2 linked regions of the Saccharomyces cerevisiae S288C genome follow. The protein of the gene in region 1 binds, or shares a complex with, the protein of each later gene. Each region holds a gene or a part of one and is shown on either strand. Other genes may lie near its edges. The genes, in order: COX6 and COX9. A codon is read from its position in the direction of its gene.

Region 1 (6,320 bases):
TTTTGCATATTTTTTCCTTTGGATGTTGCATAATCTTTTCCCGCTTACGTCATTGGTGATAGATTGTTTCGGATCTTCAAAAGGCAACACGCATAGGCCAAAGAAAAAAGAAATTTTGCATTTTTTCATTTTTGCATATTCTCGCATGTTTTCTTTCTTTTTCTCTAGTTTTCGAATGTTTTTGGCTGCAATGTATATTGTATATAAACCATAAAGGTGCAAAATGCCAGATGTACGCGGCCAATCTTAATTTTCTAGTAAAAGTAGCAGCTAAATCTGAAACTCTCTAGCTTGTAATAAACGAAGGATGACTGTACAAATTCCAAAATTATTATTTTTACACGGCTTCTTGCAAAACGGTAAAGTTTTCTCCGAAAAATCATCTGGTATTAGAAAATTATTGAAGAAGGCTAATGTCCAATGTGACTATATTGATGCACCAGTCCTTTTAGAAAAGAAGGACTTGCCATTTGAAATGGATGATGAAAAATGGCAAGCCACCCTAGATGCGGATGTTAACAGAGCCTGGTTCTATCACAGCGAAATCTCTCACGAATTGGATATCTCAGAAGGTTTGAAGTCTGTTGTTGATCACATCAAGGCCAATGGCCCATACGACGGCATTGTCGGTTTCTCTCAAGGTGCCGCATTGTCCTCTATCATCACCAACAAGATCTCAGAGTTAGTTCCAGACCATCCACAATTCAAGGTAAGTGTAGTCATTTCCGGCTATTCCTTCACCGAGCCAGACCCAGAACATCCTGGAGAATTGAGAATAACCGAAAAATTCAGAGACTCATTTGCGGTAAAACCAGACATGAAGACCAAGATGATCTTCATCTATGGTGCTTCTGACCAAGCCGTCCCATCCGTCAGATCCAAGTACCTGTACGATATTTATTTGAAGGCGCAAAATGGTAATAAGGAAAAGGTGTTGGCTTACGAACACCCTGGTGGACATATGGTTCCAAACAAGAAGGACATTATCAGACCAATTGTTGAACAAATAACCTCTTCCTTACAAGAAGCTTCTGAATAAATCGTAGGTTGTTGCTTACCTGCTTTCTAGCTTTTTACTATCACACGCAGGGTGTGTGGAGTGAAATGCTGATCGAGTATGTATATATACATATAAGTACTTTGTATAGAATGAACCACAAGTTTGTAGCATCCTTTCTCTTCTCTTCCATCCTGCGTGCTGCTAACCCCGCCCGGCGCGAAAAATCCACCCGGGGTGCTTTAGCGTGGCTTACGAAGACCTTTTTAAACATACTTATACTCTTTCTCGAAGGAAGAAAATAATGCAGAAGAGAAACAGCAGAAAAAAAAGAAATCATATTAAATTTCAGAATCAGTCTCCTTTTGCTTCTAGTCATTTAACCATCAAACGCGTTTAACCGTTTAGAAAACCCTCTTCAACAACTATTTGTTTTGATACTAATATTAGCACATCTCTATTGCCATTTAACCACTAATTTTCCGTATAGCGTTTATGTTTGATGACGTCCCAAGAATATGAACCTATTCAATGGAGCGATGAATCCCAAACAAATAATGATAGTGTCAACGATGCGTATGCCGACGTGAATACCACTCATGAGTCGCGTCGAAGAACAACTTTGCAGCCAAACTCAACATCCCAGAGCATGATCGGAACATTGAGAAAATATGCTAGGTTCATCGGTCCTGGTTTGATGGTATCTGTATCGTACATGGATCCTGGTAACTATAGTACAGCTGTAGCAGCGGGTTCTGCTCATCGGTACAAGCTTTTATTTTCTGTCTTAGTTTCTAATTTCATGGCTGCTTTTTGGCAGTACCTCTGCGCCAGATTGGGTGCTGTCACTGGCCTAGATCTGGCACAAAATTGTAAGAAACATTTGCCCTTTGGACTTAACATTACTCTTTATATTCTGGCGGAGATGGCAATTATTGCCACAGATCTGGCAGAAGTGGTAGGAACCGCTATTTCTTTGAATATCCTTTTCCATATACCTCTCGCCCTAGGTGTGATACTTACTGTGGTAGACGTTTTAATTGTTCTGCTAGCTTACAAACCTAACGGTTCCATGAAGGGTATCAGAATATTTGAAGCTTTTGTTTCTTTATTGGTGGTTCTTACCGTAGTTTGCTTTACTGTTGAACTGTTTTATGCCAAACTGGGACCTGCCAAAGAAATATTTTCTGGGTTCTTACCCAGTAAAGCCGTTTTTGAAGGTGATGGGTTATACTTAAGTCTGGCAATTCTGGGCGCCACGGTAATGCCTCATTCATTATATTTGGGGTCAGGTGTGGTTCAACCAAGATTAAGAGAGTATGATATCAAAAACGGACATTACTTGCCAGACGCGAATGATATGGATAACAATCACGATAATTACAGGCCATCCTATGAGGCCATCAGTGAAACTCTGCACTTTACTATAACGGAATTACTGATCTCGCTGTTCACGGTGGCATTATTTGTCAATTGTGCCATTCTTATCGTGTCTGGCGCTACACTATACGGGTCCACTCAAAATGCTGAGGAAGCTGACTTATTTTCTATTTACAACTTACTCTGTAGTACTCTTTCCAAGGGAGCGGGAACGGTATTCGTGCTGGCATTGTTGTTTTCAGGACAGAGTGCCGGTATCGTGTGTACGTTGAGTGGACAAATGGTTAGTGAAGGGTTCTTAAATTGGACTGTTTCTCCGGCATTGAGAAGATCCGCCACAAGAGCGGTAGCCATCACGCCTTGTTTGATTTTAGTGCTTGTAGCTGGACGTAGCGGCCTCTCTGGTGCACTAAATGCTTCCCAAGTGGTACTTTCTCTCTTGCTGCCTTTTGTTTCTGCACCTTTACTTTACTTCACTTCAAGCAAGAAGATTATGCGTGTACAGCTTAACCGTACCAAAGAACTTTCAAGAACTACAGACAAAAAACCCGTGGCCGACCGAACCGAAGATGATGAGACCATTGAGCTCGAAGAAATGGGCATAGGCAGCAGCTCACAGGAGCGCAGCTTAGTTTCTCCTGCTCCAGAATACAAAGACATGAGCAATGGAATGATCGTCACCGTGCTCGCAATCATAGTATGGTTGATTATCTCCGGACTGAACTTTTATATGTTACTGGGCTTTACTACGGGCAAAGAAGTACACCTCTAATATAACAATTCTTTAGACTAGTATAAGTATACATTTTATCCAAGAATAATAACAGAAAATTCCAATCAAAAAGTTGGTGTTAGGCTATACTGATGGCCGTATCGCTCCATACGAGCCAATCAGGGCCCCGCGCGTTATTTCCGCCGCTTACAGCTTTCTTTGAATCTCCCTATGAAAAGGGACCTAATTGGTCCGGTCAAAGCATTAATAAAGATCAACAATTGCTCTTGCTTATCAAGGTGCCAGATCTCAAGGTTACCTCATTTCTTTACATTTCATCCACATTTTAGCACACTTATTTATTATTACAATTTGAAAAATTGTATCACTTCTGAGACTTAGTAGCGGAGATAAACAGCCGAACAATTGTATTTGACACATAAACTAATAAATATACAACAATGTTATCAAGGGCCATATTCAGAAATCCAGTTATAAATAGAACTTTATTGAGAGCCAGACCTGGTGCTTATCATGCAACTAGATTGACTAAAAATACGTTTATTCAAAGTAGGAAGTATTCTGACGCACATGATGAAGAAACCTTTGAGGAATTCACCGCAAGATACGAAAAGGAGTTTGATGAAGCCTATGATTTGTTTGAAGTGCAAAGAGTGCTCAACAACTGTTTTTCCTATGATTTAGTTCCTGCTCCTGCTGTTATTGAAAAAGCTTTGAGGGCTGCCAGAAGAGTCAATGACTTACCTACCGCAATTAGAGTATTTGAGGCTTTGAAATACAAGGTGGAGAATGAAGACCAATACAAGGCCTACTTGGATGAATTGAAGGATGTCAGACAAGAATTGGGCGTTCCCTTAAAGGAAGAGCTATTTCCAAGCTCTTCTTAATAATAAGGAAAAAGCTACCACACAACGTCTGTAATTTGTTGTCCTTTTTTTATTTGTGGAAAATTCCTCAATTTGAAATAAGATTCGTATTTATTTTGTAAAACGATTTTAGTTTTTATTTTTTTTTTTTCTTCCCTTTTACCTTATTATTTGTTTTACCCTTTATGGATATTCATCCACTCAGAAACTAATATATCAAAATCAACGATAAGATCACAAGAGGTGAAATAAGAAAAGTAAAAGAAAAATATTTAAATTTAACCATTATGATTTCCACTTTGTTTTCTCTACTCTATTACTTGAACAAACTTTATTTTTGGTAATGAGGGCTGGTCACAGATTACCTTTAATATCCTTTGTTAGTAGCTTTTTTGTGTTCTATTTCAGGAAAGAAGAATGGGAAAAATAATAAAACAATAAATAACTATATAAAAAACAAAAACCTAGAATATACCATTAAAGAATTACTATTCTATTCTGTGCTTCACCGTTGCGTCAATAAATGTGAAGTTGATGTCACTTCATACTAAAAAAATTAAAGACAATTTCCTGAAAAAAATTTTTCCACTGGAGCTCATCGCAAATTTTGAAAAGTAACAAAAAGCGTTTGTATACTGCATAAAGAATAGTGTCTGTTTTATAAGAAATATTAGACAGCAGGCAGATAAACCTACGTTCCAGACTATAAAGTATAAAATGGCTAAAAAGAGTAACTCAAAGAAATCTACGCCTGTAAGTACACCAAGCAAAGAAAAGAAGAAGGTTATTGAAAAGAAATCTTCCACAGCCATTCCTAGGGAAAGAGTTATTAAAGCTGTCAACGAGCTTATAAAATTCACTTCCAAGCCACAAGATGAAAATAATGAAGAAGGAAATAACGGTAAGAAAAACCTATTGGAAGATGATGAAGAAGAATTGAAGAAAGATCTGCAATTAATCGTAGTAAATAATAAATCATTCACCGGTACTTCCAAATCATTCAAATTGAAATTACTAAATGTCAAACATTCGTTTTACAAGCCTTGGAAAGAAGCCAGTGCAACAGCGGTTAAGGATTTCAAAGTTTTATTAATTTTGAAGGATTCTGATATTAAGAAAGTTTCAGAAGATGATTTATTTGATCAATTAGATTCAGAAGGAATCAAGGTTGATGAAATCATTTGCGGGAAAGACTTAAAGACCGTTTACAAGGCATATGAGGCTAGAAACGCTTTTATATCTCAGTTTTCTTTGATTTTGGCTGACGACAGTATAGTTACATCTTTGCCAAAACTTATGGGAGGCAAAGCCTACAACAAAGTAGAAACTACTCCTATATCAATTAGAACACATGCAAATAAGGAATTTTCCTTGACCACTTTGACGAACAATATCAAAAAGGTTTACATGAATCAGTTGCCCGTTAAACTTCCAAGAGGTACCACGTTGAATGTCCATTTGGGTAATTTAGAATGGTTAAGGCCAGAAGAGTTTGTAGATAACGTTGAATTAATTTCTGAACAGTTAATCAAAGCATACCAAATCAGATCCATTTTTATCAAGACCAATAGGTCGCCCGTATTGCCATTATACTATAACCAGGACGTTCTTGATGAACTTGAAGCTAAAAAGGACAAAATCGAAGAAACCCACGAAGATGACATGGTCACCATTGATGGTGTACAAGTTCATTTGTCTACCTTCAACAAGGGTTTGATGGAAATCGCCAATCCTTCCGAATTGGGTTCAATTTTCTCTAAACAAATTAACAATGCAAAAAAGAGATCTTCTAGCGAGCTTGAAAAAGAATCTAGCGAGTCAGAAGCTGTCAAGAAGGCTAAAAGTTAATTTGTTTCCTCCTTATCTATCTTTTCTCTCATTTTTTTCTTGTGAAGAAAAAAATTTGAATTTCATAGAGTGCGGTGCATATGTATATATCTATATATGTTTGAAGTGTATATTAAAAATAAAGTCATTATTTGAATATTGGTTTCTCGGTCTAAGAGCTTATACGTTTTAGACTGATCTGTTGTACTATCCGCTTCAAATAAATAGATCATTGAAAGTGACGGGGATAACAGCATTTTACCTTTAAAAGACGTTCTCATAATACATTTTAGGATTAATACATATGCTTTTTTTTTATTCGAAATCTGGGGATTCTATACAGAGTTGTAAGTTAGGCAAACTAGAATTTGGTAATAATATTTTATTCTTGGGGCGACATATGGAGATACTTTATTTCCTTTTCTTAATTATTAACGTATACCTATAAATTAACAAAGTATCTAAACAAAATACATAAGTGTACTCAAACTGAGTAGAATCGTCGATTAAACTTCCT
Region 2 (6,137 bases), on another chromosome or scaffold:
CTATTAAAATATGGTGTCGAGAAACTGCCAATTAATCTGTTCAATACCACTCTTGATCTCATTTATGATTTGAGTTCCGAATCATTTGAATTTATTGATCATGTTTCCAACAATGAACTTCTATCACAGTTCTTAAATGGGCTATCTCCGGCTTTACATCCACAAGCTAATGAATTAACAAAAGTTCTAATTGAAGGTATCCATTGCCAATTCCTTGACATGAAAATAACTTATGATCAATGTAACAAAATGATCCACTCTGTATGTCATTCCATTAATAACATTGATCCAGTACAGTTAGTTAATGACATTAATAACCCTGTAGAAATTGGACCTGCTACTAGTAAAGATGAAAGCAGTAAGGTTATAACTAAGATCAAGGATTACAATGCGAAACGTAACGAATCCATGATAAAATTGCAAAGCATTGAAATAGCAATTGATCTTATCACCGCAATCATTGAGATAGTTGCATCCAAATATGAATCACCAGAATCACAGGAAGTAGCAATTCCAGAGGAGCTAATCAATACCTTAACAAATTTCTTACCTCACGTTTTCATGATTTTGAAAGATACCTTCACCTCGCGAATATTGATCGGATGGAACAATCTGATCTGGCTCTTTGTGTCTCTATCTCTAACAGAGCTCTCTGGAGAGTTGTTAACCACCTTATGGAGTTATGTTACACAGTTGGACAGCCAAGATGATTTGAGTATTAAAATAGGAAGAATGGGCTGTATTTGGGCGCTTCTGAAACTCATCTTTCCTGATGGAGCGTTTGAAAGTGAGAATCGAGCATTGATCAATGTCCAAATGCTGAACAATTCAGGATTCGCTAGGGGAATTATTGAAGAGTTCCAAAATAATAATGACCTTGAGTTACAACAAAAATGTATTAATGTACTAAGCACATATGCTATGATTCAGGGACAAATTGATGCAAATAAGGAGATTGGGCAGTTCTTCATACAAACTTTAACACAGTTGAATGTTCGCCCTGAAATTTTGATAGAAATGACAAATTCGCTTTTCCAAATTTACGGGGATGCCTCTTACGACTATAATGAACCAATATTTGTAAGGGGTGGATTTTTATCTATTCTAAAAGACCAAGTTGTACCAAATTTGAGGCAGCAATTCAAAATGGTTGATAAAAACAAAAATCCCGAACTAAAAGAAAGATGCCATGATTGCTTTACTACGTTGGATAGTTTCATTCACTACAAAATGAATGAAAATTCTACTAACCAATAGATTTATTAAAGTGTATATAGTTGCCATACTTATAGAAAATGGTACAAAAAATATCTTTCTATTTACTTAGCATAAGAAACAAAGAGCAAAAAATTATTTTTGAGAATTTGTAAATAATGTTATTTTGCTCTATTTTTGTTACACAACGACATTAGTTAAATAAAGTACAAAAGGAGGAAGAATGGGAAAGATGGATTCCCTCTATTTAGAGTACTGTTTAGCTTGAAGCAAAACTTTCTTGTCATATTCCGCCTTATTTCTTGAAAATGATCTCCATGCAGGCTCTTGAGCAGGGGAATTTGGATTTGGAGAGTCTAAAAGATCCTGAACCCCAAGAACAATTTGTTTTAACGTGATGGCGGGTCTCCAATCTTGATCTTCATTTAAAATACTTAAACATATTGTGCCACTTGGATACACGTTTGGATGATAAAATCCGGCTGGAAATTTAACCTTTGGAGGTTTTGAAGGATATTCATTTGGATATTCGACTGTAATTGGGTACACACCACCCGCCCAGTTTGTACCTTCTTTGCCTGGGATACCAGCTTCCCATTTCTGTAAATCCATGGACCCATCAGCTTTCTTAACTGGTTTGGCATAAAATCCAAATGGATGATCCTTTCTCCATTTTTTTCTGTTATTCAAGTAAAACAAGTTAAGTTCATCGATTTGTTAGTATACCGCTGGATGAAATTGTGTATGCCTACAGAATGTAAGCATAAAAGGAGGAAAACTACTACTTACCTTTCTTCCTGAAGACGCTGTAGACACAAACTACTCATATTGCTTCCAAAAAATGGTGCCAGTGTGTGCTTATCCTATGCTAAATTTCTCTTCTTTTTTTAAATGTTTGTTATGGAGACAGGAATAATTTTTAATTTCCAGATGTTAAACGCGGTTTCTGAGAGATATAAAGTGAAGAAAGAATTACAAATTGTGGGAACCGAAGTATTGACGGAAAGAAGAAATGCCAAACATACAACACGAAGTAATGAATGAAAACGAGTACGATAATTTTGATGATTTGGATGACCTTTTAGATGAAGATCCCACTAAACTGGATGAAGCAGAGCCCGATGATGTGCAAGCGAAGGGTTCTGTGTACAACGATAGTGAAAACAAAGAGAAGAATGCCGAAAGTAAGGACAGTGATGGCGTACAGGTAGCTAATGAATCTGAAGAGGACCCAGAATTGAAAGAAATGATGGTAGATTTGCAAAATGAGTTCGCAAATTTGATGAAAAATAACGGTAACGAGAATAATGTGAAGACAGAAGATTTTAATAAACTGATTAGTGCTCTAGAAGAGGCAGCTAAAGTACCTCATCAACAGATGGAGCAAGGATGTAGTAGTTTGAAAAGTAACAGCACTGATAAAGGGACCGTGAATGGTAGCAATCCGGGATTTAAAAACATTGTTTCCAATACGCTAGACAGGTTAAAGGAAAATGGTAATAAAGTTGATACATCCCTAGCCGAAGAAACCAAGGAATCTCAACGCAGTGGCCAAAATAATAATATTGATGATATATTGTCACAATTATTAGATCAAATGGTAGCATCTGGTGGAAAAGAAAGTGCAGAAAATCAATTTGATCTAAAAGATGGGGAGATGGACGACGCAATAACAAAAATACTTGATCAAATGACGTCAAAAGAAGTATTATATGAGCCTATGAAAGAAATGCGTAGTGAGTTCGGTGTTTGGTTTCAAGAAAACGGTGAAAATGAAGAGCATAAGGAAAAGATAGGCACCTACAAGAGGCAATTTAATATCGTAGACGAAATTGTAAATATTTATGAATTGAAAGATTATGACGAGCTAAAGCATAAAGATCGTGTTACTGAACTTTTGGACGAATTAGAACAGCTTGGTGATAGCCCTATTAGAAGTGCGAACAGCCCCCTAAAACACGGTAATGAAGAAGAAGAACTCATGAAAATGTTGGAAATTGATGGTAATGATCCGAACTTGGGGAACCTTGATAAGGAATTAACCGACGGTTGCAAACAACAATAAGGTATATATATTTATGATAACAGTAAAAAAAAAAAAAAAAAAGTAGTTCATTATCCTAGAGCATAACTAAGTATAACACTTTAAAAAATGAAAAAAAAAAGTGGTAGATTGGGCTACGTAAATTCGATTACTCGATCGACTTGATTTCTTTTTGTAGTCTTTTTTCAACGGCATCCAAAAATTCTTCTGTGGTAACATAAGCAGATCTTTCGTTGTTACCGCAAGCCAAAGCCAAGTCCTTCGTCATGATACCGTCTTGCTGAACTGTGTTCAAAGTGGCGGATTCCAAAATATTGGCAAATTTACACAAAGCAGGAGTATTGTCCAATTCACCTCTCTTCAATAGACCTCTCGACCACGCGAAAATGGATGCAATGGAGTTTGTAGAAGTTTCTTCACCCTTTTGGTACTTTCTATAATGTCTTGTCACGGTACCATGAGCAGCTTCACTTTCGAAAGTTTTACCGTCTGGTGTAACTAAGATAGAAGTCATCAAACCTAAGGAGCCAAATCCTTGAGCGACGATGTCAGATTGGACATCACCGTCATAGTTCTTTAGCGCCATGATAAAGCCACCTTTAGATTTTATCATTTGAGCGACCATATCATCAATTAAACGGTGTTCATAGTGGATCCCTAGTTGTTCGAATTTGGATTTATATTGAGCTTCATAAACTTCTTGGAAAATGTCTTTGAACCGACCGTCATATTTCTTCAAAATAGTGTTCTTGGTTGACAAGAAAAGATTTAGCTTTTTGTCAATGGCCAGCTTGAAAGACGAATGAGCAAACCCTTCGATGGATTCGTCAGTATTGTACATGGCCATGGCCACACCACTGCCCTTGTAGTCATACACTTTCAAAGTTTGTGGTTGAGCAGTCGTAGGGTCGGATGGCTTGTAGACCAGTTCCAAAGATCCTGGGCCTGGGATCAGTGTGTCCGTAGCTTTATATTGATCACCGTGGGCGTGTCTTCCAATAATGATTGGTTTTTCCCAACGTGGGACCAGTCTAGGAATTCTAGGAATCACAATGGGCTCTCTGAACACTGTACCGCCGAGAATGTTTCTGATGGTACCATTAGGAGATTTCCACATCTTGTGCAGGTTGAATTCCTTCACACGAGCTTCATCAGGAGTGATGGTGGCACATTTGATACCAACACCATACTTCTTGATCGCCTCAGCAGCATCCTGAGTAATCTTGTCGGAGGTGGCGTCACGAGATTCGACAGATAAGTCGTAGTACTTCAAATCTACGTCCAAGTAGGGTAGAATCAATTTCTTCTTGATCTTATCCCAAATGATACGGGTCATTTCATCACCGTCCAACTCGACAACGGGTTGTTTGACCTTAATCTTACTGAAAGCAGCAAGGCGAGAGGTGGAAAATAATCTTCTAGATAACATACTCATGCTGGGCGATCTTCCTTGTGCGTCTGTTGTCTCACAATTGCTTGAAGGAAGATTTCATAAGATCATATGAGTCCCTCTTTATATGGGCAAGTGGAATTATGTGAGTCAAAATCCGCGCGTGACCCGTAAAGCGTTATCAGAAGGTGCAAACGGTGCTATTTAGCTCATAAAAGGAATGATTCAAGCTCTTTTGGATTGTAAGACACCTTTATTTAGTCCAAGATCATTGCAGACCCTTGTTATGGTCTTTAGCAGAGTCCTCCTCTATATCTCTTCATTTACTGCAACCTGATTGGCCCGCTACCACGATGCCCGCTTTGTTCCTGTGGTATTAAAAGAATCGATGAAAGAGACTCTTATCTTCAGGGAAAATTAGGACCGAGAATTAGAGCAAGCAAGATATTTGCAAACTACTAACTACAAGCGACTTACACAGACATGACTATTGCTCCAATTACTGGTACGATCAAGAGAAGAGTCATCATGGACATCGTCCTCGGGTTCTCCCTCGGGGGTGTCATGGCCTCTTACTGGTGGTGGGGATTCCACATGGATAAGATTAACAAGAGAGAGAAGTTCTACGCAGAGCTAGCTGAGAGGAAAAAGCAAGAGAACTGACCGAACCTGACCACTATTGTTTTTCGCATTATATTCTTATTCCTATTTATTTATCTTTTATTTTTTTTCTGTGCTGGCCTCGATTGATTACTTTTGCAAGAGTTTGTAGGGAAGGAAAACAGACAAGTCATTCTTTTCTTTCTTTTTGACCTTTATCATAATTTTCTATTTGTATAATTTGAAAAAATAGTTTTACATATTTATGTAGTGTCAAACTAAAATAAAAACAAACTTAAAAAAAGAGTTATAGAAAATGTATGTGGAGAATAAGACAGGCAGACCTTGAGTGAACTAGGAATAGTACAATATTACCTTTAGGAGGTGCCACGTACTACCCCTTTGCTTCTATTCTTCTATGGTTTCTTTATAGCAGGATAAAAGAATAAATCAGATAATGAATCTCGACATGTTGAGGACAAAAGTGTTTGCAACTACTGTTGCTCGAATATCTGGGATTCGCAGGTATATTCCCATCAGAACTATAAACACGGTGACGAAAAAGAATATTAGTAAGATAGAAAAACTGTGTGAAGTCCTTGAAGTTAATCCTGACGGATATAAAGGAAAGGAACGCATACCGACTAAAGAACTAACTAAACTGCTATATACCACAAGCAGGAATATGTTGGTACGAGTACCAATGACTGGAGACTTGAGCACAGGAAATACATTTGAAACAAGAAACGAAACTTTACAAAAATTGGGTGAACAGCTCATTCACTTGGAAATTAATAAGATGCTTACAATAACATTTACGAATTTCAATCAGTTTAATATAATGAACAAAAACTTCAATTACATTCATAACTTAGATCGAGCTCGAGT

What was found.
Region 2: the proteins of COX6 (region 1) and COX9 are in contact, whole or in part, in a cryo-EM structure (PDB 7Z10), measured with the Saccharomyces cerevisiae proteins. Residues at the interface, in NP_011918.1 of Saccharomyces cerevisiae: Phe49 (codon at 3,695), Asp80 (codon at 3,788), Leu81 (codon at 3,791), Val82 (codon at 3,794), Pro85 (codon at 3,803), Glu116 (codon at 3,896), Gln120 (codon at 3,908), Ala123 (codon at 3,917), Tyr124 (codon at 3,920), Glu127 (codon at 3,929); in NP_010216.1 of Saccharomyces cerevisiae: Thr2 (codon at 5,136), Ile3 (codon at 5,139), Pro5 (codon at 5,145), Ile6 (codon at 5,148), Thr7 (codon at 5,151), Gly8 (codon at 5,154), Thr9 (codon at 5,157), Ile10 (codon at 5,160), Lys11 (codon at 5,163).

The regions. Positions count from the first base shown.
Region 1 is NC_001140.6:206,155-212,474, forward strand, and holds COX6 (cytochrome c oxidase subunit VI), read left to right. Parts: upstream 1-3,550; coding exon 3,551-3,997; downstream 3,998-6,320. Other genes in the region: FSH1 (putative serine hydrolase), read left to right, coding at 308-1,039; divalent metal ion transporter SMF2, read left to right, coding at 1,500-3,149; YHR050W-A (uncharacterized protein), read left to right, coding at 3,321-3,491; CIC1 (Cic1p), read left to right, coding at 4,694-5,824. UniProt on the Saccharomyces cerevisiae protein: Component of the cytochrome c oxidase, the last enzyme in the mitochondrial electron transport chain which drives oxidative phosphorylation.
Region 2 is NC_001136.10:333,392-339,528, reverse strand, and holds COX9 (cytochrome c oxidase subunit VIIa), read left to right. Parts: upstream 1-5,132; coding exon 5,133-5,312; downstream 5,313-6,137. Other genes in the region: SYO1 (Syo1p), read left to right, coding at 1-1,257; E2 SUMO-conjugating protein UBC9, read right to left, coding at 1,459-1,894, 2,005-2,042; PEX19 (Pex19p), read left to right, coding at 2,252-3,280; isocitrate dehydrogenase (NADP(+)) IDP1, read right to left, coding at 3,408-4,694; CBS1 (Cbs1p), read left to right, coding at 5,719-6,137. UniProt on the Saccharomyces cerevisiae protein: Component of the cytochrome c oxidase, the last enzyme in the mitochondrial electron transport chain which drives oxidative phosphorylation.